Canis lupus familiaris: one gene and its partners. The protein of the gene in region 1 binds, or shares a complex with, the protein of each later gene. Links are inferred from orthologs where the notes say so. Each region holds a gene or a part of one and is shown on either strand. Other genes may lie near its edges.

Evidence for each region.
Region 2: RPL11 (region 1) and RPF2 share a complex: the UniProt entries of both Homo sapiens proteins name them as parts of the hexameric 5S RNP precursor complex. The link is inferred for Canis lupus familiaris from reciprocal best matches to the Homo sapiens genes RPL11 and RPF2.
Region 3: RPL11 (region 1) and HEATR3 share a complex: the UniProt entries of both Homo sapiens proteins name them as parts of the hexameric 5S RNP precursor complex. The link is inferred for Canis lupus familiaris from reciprocal best matches to the Homo sapiens genes RPL11 and HEATR3.

What each region holds. Positions count from the first base shown.
Region 1 is NC_049223.1:75,176,903-75,180,888, forward strand, and holds the start of RPL11 (60S ribosomal protein L11), read right to left. Parts: upstream 2,809-3,986; 5' UTR 2,786-2,808; coding exon 2,780-2,785; exon of another isoform or gene 2,640-2,779; intron 2,039-2,639; coding exon 1,888-2,038; intron 760-1,887; coding exon 653-759; intron 206-652; coding exon 74-205; intron 1-73.
Region 2 is NC_049233.1:67,908,573-67,911,437, forward strand, and holds the end of RPF2 (ribosome production factor 2 homolog), read left to right. Parts: intron 1-1,265; coding exon 1,266-1,410; intron 1,411-2,169; coding exon 2,170-2,349; 3' UTR 2,350-2,353; downstream 2,354-2,865. UniProt on the Homo sapiens protein: Involved in ribosomal large subunit assembly. May regulate the localization of the 5S RNP/5S ribonucleoprotein particle to the nucleolus.
Region 3 is NC_049223.1:64,485,106-64,488,625, forward strand, and holds part of HEATR3 (HEAT repeat-containing protein 3), read right to left. Parts: intron 3,106-3,520; coding exon 2,996-3,105; intron 1-2,995. UniProt on the Homo sapiens protein: Plays a role in ribosome biogenesis and in nuclear import of the 60S ribosomal protein L5/large ribosomal subunit protein uL18 (RPL5). Required for proper erythrocyte maturation.

The DNA.
Region 1 (3,986 bases):
ACACACAAAATAAAGGAGTAGCAGATTCCACTCTTCTCACAGACCAGGAGTAGAAAAGACTAAATATTCATACCACATAGAAGTCCAGGCCGTAGATACCAATGCTTGGGTCATATTTGATCCCCAGATCGATGTGCTCCTGGATCCCAAAACCAAAGTTTCCAGTATCGGAGAAGTTATTTTTTCTTAACTCATACTCTCGCACCTAAGGAGACAAATGCAGCAATCATATCCCTCGTCAATTCAAATCCCCCCAAATTATTAGTTTAGTCCTCATCACTCAGCACCCTGAGATACAATTCGATATAATTTGATCATGAACAAAAATCTCATTTCCCCACGACACCAAATCACAACCCACGATAGGAGTTTCTAGAGCTAAAAAAAAAAAAAAGAAAAGAAGAAGCAGTTCATAGAGCTTTCCCAATATTTAAAAGGCATTGAAAAACCCAGAGAAATCATTCAAGAATAAAGTTTAAAACCTTGTTGGGTGCAGGAAACACCCTTTAGAGGTTCAAAAAAATTTCAAATTAAAAAAATATATCAAGGGACCAAAGACAGTGTACAAAGTATAACCACTGCCACTGTAATTATCTAGTTGTTAACACATAAGCTGGTGCTCTTTATTATCCCATGAGGGGATCAGCCTCACCTTTAGACCTTTCTCCAGGATTTCTTCTGCTTTGGCCCCACGGACTGTGCAGTGGACAGCAATCTTTTCATTTCTCCTGATACCAAAGGATCTAACCGTGTACCTAGCTGCAGGAGGGGAAAACAAGGAGTCAGGTATCACACTCCCACTGCACTCACCTCTTCCCTAGAACATCATCTCCACAATTCTAAGACACATTAAATATCCACCCACATCCTAAGTGCTGGCATTCCTACCAGTGTCACCTACATCTGGTTTCATCCATAGCACAGAAAACAGATTTTTCAACTTCCAAGTCATTCAATCATACTTAAGCAATTAAGAGCTCAAAGTCACATCTAAGTCTCAGGACGGGCCAAGTTCACAGCCAGAAGAGGCCACTAGAAAGGAATATGGTCACTGTATTCTAAAGAAAACAAAACATTATTGATAATTCTCTAATGTTATCCTGTTATAGATGAGGTTCTGGGAGGTTAACTTGCCCCAAATCACAGTTGGTAACAAAAGGCAGGATCTAAACCCAACAATGTGCCATACTGCATTATCCTAAAGCAAAGAAACTTAACGATGCTAATGTCCACGCTGGGCTTGGTATGTAGCAGGCACTTCATAAAATCTATTTTATTTTTCACAATCTTATTATCATCTCATTTAGGCAAATAAGGAAGCTGAGACCCAGAAAGGCTGAGGCCAGACCCGCAAATGATGGGGCCAGGATTTGAACCCAGTTGGCCTAGGCACAGAGCCCTTCTCCATGTAGCCTATAAATTCTCAGTGAGTCATTCAAGCCAAATATCACCTAGTGCATTCCTAATGTTTCTAACTTTACCCGGAAAAATCTCTACTTAGGCTGGCCCTGGCTGAAGCTCTGCTAACTTAAAGACCTGGTATTCCAAAACCAAACCCGTCTTGAAAGGAAAATACTTTGGGATCCCTGGGTAGCTCAGCAGTTTGGCGTCTGCCTTCGGCCCAGGCAGTGATCCTGGAGACCCAGGATCGAGTCCCACATCAGGTCCCTGCATGGAGCCAGCTTCTCCCTCTGCCTCTCTGTGTCTCTCATGAATAAATAAAATTAAATAAAACAAAGGAAAATACTTCTTGGGTAGCTCAGGATGGTGATGCTTTTTAAGGGGCATCAACTGTCACTTTCAAAACGGGCACTGAAGAGGCTGTATACCAGGTAAATTAGAAAAGAACATGCAGGGATGTTCTCTCCCCTGACGGCCACCACTGACCTTTGGAGAACACTGGGGTCTGGCCCGTGAGCTGCTCCAGCACCTTGGCCGCGCGGGTCAGTCTGTCTCCACTCTCCCCCACACAGATGTTGAGGCAGAGTTTGCGGATGCGAAGCTCCCGCATGGGGTTCTCCTTTTCACCTTGATCCTGCTGCAACGAGGGAAGCGCAGCAGTCAACACGCCACCCCGCCACAGCTCCGAGTCCCACATCTGTAGACACCGCCTACCTAGTTCTGCTCATCCCGGTTCCTAACGACAGCCTTACGGGCTTGCAAAGCATCGCGGTGTCTGTGCACCAGCTCGGGAGCTGGGCTCCCCCTCCGCGCCAGGAATGGACGAACAGAAACTTGGGGCAGGTAGCGGGAGTTCGAACCCCAAGGGGCTCACCCCCGTAAGGTGTCGGAGCGCGCGTCCCCGCTACAAAGCCGACGGGCAAGAAAATCGGATTTAAACGCCGCTGAGGAAACAGGAAGCGCGTGGTTGGGCGACGTCCCCCATTCCTTTCGGAAGCAGCCCGGGGGGCAGAGGGCAGGCGGCCTCCTCGAGCGGAGGGGCGGGCTGCGGCTCCCTAAGCACCCGGCAAGCCTCAAGTCCCCGGGACGGGGAACAGGTCCAGCCCCTCCGTTCGCTCCGTCGCCCTCCCCGCAGCTGACGCGCCGCGCTCCGCTCGCCCTCCCGGCGGCCGCCCCCAGCCGGCTGAGGAGCGGGAGGGGAGCGGGAGTGGAGGGGGCAGGGCTCGGCTCCGCGGCCTCGGCCCGCATGGCTCTGCCAGTTCCGCCACGGCGAGCCTTACGGGCTCCCTTCTCCGGCCGCGGACGAGGCAGCTCCCGCCTCGGATGAAGGCGGATGGAGGCGGATGAAGAGAAGCAAAGCAGGGCCTCAGCTACTCACCGCCATGGTGGAGAACAGGAAGAGAGGGCGAAGCTTCCGGCCCAGGGCCTTATGGGTCAGGAGGCGGGCTCTCTCCCCAGGCTGCCCCGCGGGCCGCGGCGGGCGGCGGGCGGCGGGCGGGCGGGCGGGTGGGCGCCGCCTGGTCCCCGGGACGCGGGTTTTCCAAAAATAGTTTTTTAAAGCTTTTCCTTGAGCTTCCGGTCTCCACGGGCGCCCTTCCCTCCCACGGTCTCCGGACCTCGTGGTTCCTGGCGTGAACCGACTTCCAGGGCCACGTGAAATCAGTCGTGCAAATCGCCAAGTAGGGGATCCCTGGGGGGCTCAGCGCCGCCTTCGGCCCGGGGCGTGACCCTGGAGACCCGGGGTCGAGTCCCGCAACCGGCTCCCTGCACGGAGCCTGCTTCTCCCTCTGCTGCCTCTCTATCATGAATAAAATAAAATCTTAAAAAAAAAAAAAAAAAAAAACTAAAAAAAAAAAAAAAGAAAATCTTAAACTTATTCGGGGACAATGTGAACATGTGGAATTTATAGTTAGAACAGAGGTGGCTGAAGAGCCCTGAGCTGTGGAGACGCAGTCGTGCTCTAGTTAACCCAATACGCGACCCCGGCCAGGTTACTAATTAGACCCTCTTTGAGCCTCAGTTTTCCTCAGCTTTAAAATGGGTACCTAGATCATAGGAGATTGTTGTGAAAGTTAAATGAAGTAATTGTGTAGAGCACGCATAAGGGGTTACGCTTTTATTTTTTTTAATTATTTATCTATTCATGAGAGACAAGAGAGAAGCAAGAGACAGGCAGAGGGAGAAGCAGGCTCCATCCCAGGATCCCCTGGATCACAACCTGAGCTGAAGGCAGACGCTGAGCCTCTGAGCCACCCAGCTGCCCAAGAAGGGATTTCTCTTAATATAAACCCACTATATCCAAGCAACCCCCTTCCCCCGCCCCCCAAAAAATGTTAGACATGGTGTATAATCAACAGTCATCCTGCACGCCCAAAGATGGGTTGCAGATTAGTCTGACAGACAAAGGCTCTGCTGGCAAACAATAAGCCAGCTCTGCTGGCTTCCCGGTTTACACTAATTCTCAGCAGCAGCACCGCAGGGAGAACCTGGCATTGAATCCACCAGTTTCTTTAACAGGAATAAATAGCCAAAGGACTTTGGTGGAAAAGGAGACAAGCCTCTCACTTCTACCATTAAACCCCCAG
Region 2 (2,865 bases), on another chromosome or scaffold:
AAGATACTAATCTTGTTAGGAGTTCAGTTTTATAAATACCATTTATTTGGAGGTATTGAAAATGTGGATGCAGAAGTACATGAATTACAACAGAGTCAAAGGGTTACTGCCACCATATGCTTTGAATCAGCTTTTAGGAAAGATGCCCTGATATCACCAACTTGAGCTTCTAAAAATATTTTCCCCCACAGTGGCCCTGAGATAGGCAAATTCCCCCATTATGCAGAGTGGCCTAAGGGCTCTTGTTTTGGCCTTTTCCCCTCAAGTCCCATATGAATATTCATGTTATCTTTTACTGTTTGTTGTTGTTAACACTTCTGCTTTTTATATATCCTAGGTTGATATTTGTTTTGTTTTTGCCTTGTTCGGTTTGGTATAACTAACTGTCTGATACGGCATATTTATCATTAAGACTTCTTAAAGCGAGTAGGTGCACCTCCCAATGGGTGGACTGTCTGCATGTCATGCTTTGGGGCCCAAAGGGCTGTTAATGAGCATCTGAACACTCACTTCTGCTTCCTGGAGTTTGTTGTTCCTTGGTATTTCTTACTGTGCTTTTACTCTCTCTCATGTCATTTGTTGCCTCTCTCACATTCCACCTTTAGTGTGAAAAGTTTGATCTTTTATAAGCATTGTTATTCATTAAATTCTTTTTTTTCCATCTTGAGATCTGGCCACTATAACAAATTGAGTCAGCTCAAATCTTCAGGTCTTTGAGCTGTTCTTGTGGTATCACTCACAAAAAGAATTTGTTAGTTTCCCCTCCTCCTGACTGTGTCCCTCATCTATTTCCACATTCAGAGCTATTTGGACGTATGGAATCTAGAAAGTTGTGGTTTTGTTATATTAAGATTTTAAAGTTCATTCCAATCTATAGAGATCAGTAGGTGTCTGTACTATGGACAAAAGTAGATTCTGAATGGGAGTCTTAGAGAAATGAGAATTTGTTAATTATGTAAATGTAATATTTCAAAGGCCCGGTTTGAAATTGTTTTTATAATTATGTAAATCTATAAATAAGATGAAGAAATCAAATCAAAGGATTCCATTTCTGGGGTGCCTGGTTGGCTCAGTTGATTAAGCATCTGCCTTTGGCTCAGGTCATGATCTACATCCAGGTCCTGGAATCAAGCCTTGTGTCCTCATCTTTGGGCTCCCTGCTGAGCAGGGAGCCTGCTTCTTCCTCACCCCCTATCATGCTCATCTCACTTTCTGTTTCTCAACAATATATATATATTTTGACCTTTTTTTTGTACTTCATACAGGTTGCTGCTGAAGAAATCCGGTTGTAGAACACCAAGGATTGAATTGGAAGAGATGGGGCCCTCGTTGGATCTGGTTCTGAGGAGGACACGTCTGGCTTCAGATGATCTTTATAAATTATCTATGAAAATGCCAAAAGCCCTCAAGGTTTATAACTTGCATATTGTTGCCATATTTATTTGTAAATTCCACTCTTCTTTCCAAAAAGGGTTTGTAGCATAGTACAGTAAAGGACAGACAGAAAGAGATCAATAATGGAGATAAAATTAGACTCTCAGAGCAAAGAAAAGGAGGAAGCAGCAAGTAAGCCAACCATAAAGGATAATAAGAGAGTTGTAGAAACCACGCGTTAGCTGTGGTTGAGAGCTTTCTGGTAGCAAGACTGTCAGTTTTCAGCAAGAAAGAGAATTGTTTGAGGCATTGTGGAGATTGGGAATTTAGAGCACAGGCTGTGTAAACCATACTGGGATAAAATGTATTTTGACTTCTGAATGGTTCTTAAAAACAAGTAGAAATGGCATCTCTGGAATGCCCATAAAGATCGAAATGATAGTCACAATTCCTTAAGCTAAACACAGGAAATTCTCTCAGTGCATGACAATGGTTAACATAGTCTATAGTGTTGTTGTCCGAAGTGTGGTCTGACAGTTTACCTGAGAATTCTTAGAAATGCTGAATCTCAGGTCCTACTCTAGACTTGTTGAATTATAACATGCATTTTAACAAGATCCTCAAGTCATCTGTATGTATTTGAGAAGAAAGGTCTCTAGAATAGACTATATTCTTGAATAGGTGCTCACTAGTGGGAATTGCTAGTAACATAGTTGTACACTAGATTTTTACAAGGCTATGATAGTAGATACTATTATATATATTTATATACATCTATATATTCTTATTTCACAGCCAAAGAAGAAGAAAAATGTCTCCCATGATACTTTTGGTACAACTTATGGAAGGATTCATATGCAGAAGCAAGACCTAAGCAAACTACAAACCAGGAAAATGAAGGGGTTGAAGAAGCGACCTGCAGAAAGGATAACAGAAGACCAGGAGAAAAAATCAAAGAGAATTAAAAAAAATTGATAGAGGGATCCCTGGGTGGCGCAGCGGTTTGGCGCCTGCCTTTGGCCCAGGGCGCGATCCTGGAGACCCGGGATCGAATCCCACGTCGGGCTCCCGGTGCATGGAGCCTGCTTCTCCCTCTGCCTGTGTCTGCCTCTCTCTCTCTCTGTGACTATCATAAATAAATAAAAATTAAAAAAAAAATTGATAGAATTAGCCAATAATGTTAATTGTAGTCTGTTTTCTTTTTTTTTATTTTTTTTAATTTTTAATTTTTTAATTTTTATTTATTTATGATAGTCACAGAGAGAGAGAGAGAGAGAGAGGCAGAGACATAGGCAGAGGGAGAAGCAGGCTCCATGCACCGGGAGCCCGACGTGGGATTCGATCCTGGGTCTCCAGGATCGCGCCCTGGGCCAAAGGCAGGCGCCAAACTGCTGCGCCACCCAGGGATCCCTGTAGTCTGTTTTCTTAAGAGAGTTATTAATCATCGGTCATCTCTAAGTTTCTTACAAGATTTTATTGTATATTTTTATA
Region 3 (3,520 bases), about 11 Mb from region 1:
ATTTACAACAATTTAACTCATCAGAAAACATTTGCAACTTTTTAAAAATTTTGTATTCAAATTCAATTTAGTTAAAATATACTGTATTATTAGTTTCAGTGGTAGAATTTAGTGATTCATCAGCTGCATATAGTATTCAACCCAGGCAGGGCTCATTCCACCACGTACCCTCCTTAATGCCCATCACCCAATTACCTCATCCTCCACACCCACTGTCCCTCCAGCAACTCTCAGTTTGTTCCCTACAGTAAATAGTCTTTAATGGTTTGCCTCCCTCTCTGTTTTTATCTTATTTTTTCTTTCCCTTCCTCTATGCTCATCTGTTTTGTTTCTTAAATTCCACTTATGAATAAGATCATATAGTACCTGTCTTTCTCTGACTGACTTATTTCACTTAGCATGATACCCTCTAGTTCCAACTAAACATTTGTATGTTTATAACTTCTTCAGACACAGGTGGCTTTTGTAAAATAGGTATGTTTTACTTAAAGGACGGTACATGCAAATGTGGCTCCTCAGACTATCAGTGTAATGAAAGATTTTTTCTTTTCTTTTTAATTTCTAATTCTTTACAGAATTATTCTTTTACAAAATACAACTTAAAAGGCTCTTAGATGTTGTGACAATGTGGAATTACTAATGAACATTTATAAAGGTTTCTCCTCAATTTCTGTATGTATCAGGGACTAGTAACAAAGAGTCTGGGGGCCAAAGGCCAGCACAGGGACAACACTTAGCAGGCTTGGGTACATTCTGGCTTCCTTTAAATTCAGTATGATCTTAAAAGTTAGGGCTATTTCTGGTGAAGCAGTATTCCTTTAAGAAAAAAAAGTATTTTACATAAAACTATGAGTAAATGAAGAGATGGCTATGATCTCTTCAGTGCTTAGCTCCTTCCTTGCATTAAAACAAGACCATGGATTACACTTTGCAGATCAGAAATAACTAACTGAAAGTATCAAAACAACTGGTATTGCCTTACAACTTTGACAGAAAAATCTCTAAAACACAAGAGGAACCAAGCCCAAATGTGTTTTTCTTAGTGTATTCCAAACAAATCCATTTCTTTCCAGTCTCAAAATTTCACAGCTGATCCATGCCCACCCAAATTAGTCAAAATACATGCTACTGCTGTGATCTAGTTTAGTTCCCCAAATGCATTTGTATACAAATCCACATACACGCATATATCCAAATGTAATTTTTTTCATTAAGAGACTGATTAAATTCACTTTAGCAAAAAGCCAAGAGAAACTATGGTTGCTACCATAAAGACAAGACCTAAGAAAGCCATGTTAATATATACAACAGAATCTCAGAAGTTCACTTTACTGTATGTAAACCTTGATTTTCAACCCAAAGTAATTTGACACTTGTTTAAAAACTCATGAATCAAAAAAAAATAAAATAAAAATAAAAAAATAAAAAATAAAAACTCATGAATCTAGCAAAATGCAGAAAGAAAACATTATACAATGCAAAATTACTTTAATCCTTTTTTTTATTAGAGAAAAATAAATTTTAAATAAATCTACAAGACTAAAGATACAAAAACAGAAGTGAGGTTTTTCTTTTAAAAGCTATTAACTGGGATGCCTGCATGGCTCAGCAGTTGAGCATCTGCCTTTGGCTCAGGGCTTGATCCCAGAGTCTCGGGATCAGAGTGCCACATCCAGCTTCCTGCATGGAGCCTGCTTCTCCCTCTACCTATGTCTCTGCCTCTCTCTGTCTTTCATGAATGAATAAATAAAATCTTTAAATAAAAAATAAAAGCTATTAACTAACTTTTGTGAATGTCCTTAATTGTAAAGAAAAACCGTCTTCTGAGATTAAAAGCCACCTACCAATTTCCTAGTTCAACTGTTTTTAAAATCCACATTTATTCATAAATCGCCCTTTTGCCAAAGATTTCATTTTGAGAAACTGATTTTTCAATTTTTCTCAGTAGTATTCATTCCACTGTTTTTTTCTCCTGTTCCCTTAAAAGTATATATTAGAGTCAAGAGAAGCATCAGTAAAGGGAATACACTTAGTCCATGCCAGGAGAAATGCATAATTAAATAAAAGGACAGCTGGATGCCTGGCCATTATAATGGGAAGAAAAGAAATGTTTTTCATCAATGATTTCTCCACTCTCCCCAGAGTTCTGCTGAGCCACCCAGCCTCCAGTCTGTCTCTCCAAATGGACAAGGGTTCCCCACTATGGCTCCCTATGCTCCATACCACACAGAGAAAACGTGAGGGAGTCAAGGCAGCTGAAGCTGCCAGACTCTACTTCCCCTCTCCCATAGAAGGGAAGCAGGCCTATGTGAAATTTCAATCACTTATGTTCCTCTCAAAAAAAAAAAAAAAAAAAAAAAAAAAAGCACAGGTTATCCGTTTTCTGCTGGGAGTATGAGACAGTGGTACAAGACATTTAAATAGGGATCCCTGGGTGGCACAGCGGTTTGGCGCCTGCCTTTGGCCCAGGGCGCGATCCTGGAGACCCGGGATCGAATCCCACGTCGGGCTCCCGGTGCATGGAGCCTGCTCCTCCCTCTGCCTGTGTCTCTGCCTCTCTCTCTCTCTCTGTGTGACTATCATAAATAAATAAAAATTAAAAAAAAAAAAAAAACAAAAACAAAACAAGACATTTAAATAAGTCTAGATTCCAATTAACTTTGGCTCAGAGGCCAGGTAGTTGTGGGTTACTGTTTCTCAGTAAATGGGAGATGAATGCTTCAAGAATTAATAAAGCCTTCTAAGGATGGTAATATACTAGAAACCGCACCTGCTCACATAATTACCTTCCTCCCTTTCAGAGTGAAGAGCAGGAAAATTATGTAAGTATTAATCACAGATTTTAAAAGATTCAGAACAAACAGAACTCAGTTACACATTTACATATAATGAGGGGAAAAAAATCACTTCTGTAGAATAAACATGCTGTGTTGGAATAAAAATTTTTGAATAAGGCCACACATACTTAATAAATCATCACTTTTTCTTCACTTACCTACTGAAATAGCCAGGTCAACATTGGTGGAAAACCTACTTAAATACTTTAATACAATCTCCAAACACCCTTCTTTGTTGAATATAGATACTGCTCTACTACTGCATTCACTAAATTGAAGGGGGAAAAAAAAGTTTTACTATTCACATTTGAACATTAAGAAATCAACCATAGAAATTCATGAAAAGATAAATTAGGCTTTATAAAAGAACCCAAGAATTGGAGTCAAACACCCGCCATTTTTATAGATGAAGAAACCGATGCCCACTCAAATTCAATACACATAAACAAAACTGGCTTTCTGTATTTTTATTTCTATCACAGAACATTTTAGCCAATCCCTTACCTGCAATGTCAGTTTCCTTTACGAGGCTGGAGCCAGGAGAGATCTTAGAAATCATTTACTTCTATTCCTCACCCTATACATAAGGACATCCAGGCCCCAAAAGGTGAAGTGATCTATCCAAAGATCACACATTTTGTTAGTGGTGGTTCCTAAAGTCTAGCCTACTGTTCCTTCTACCA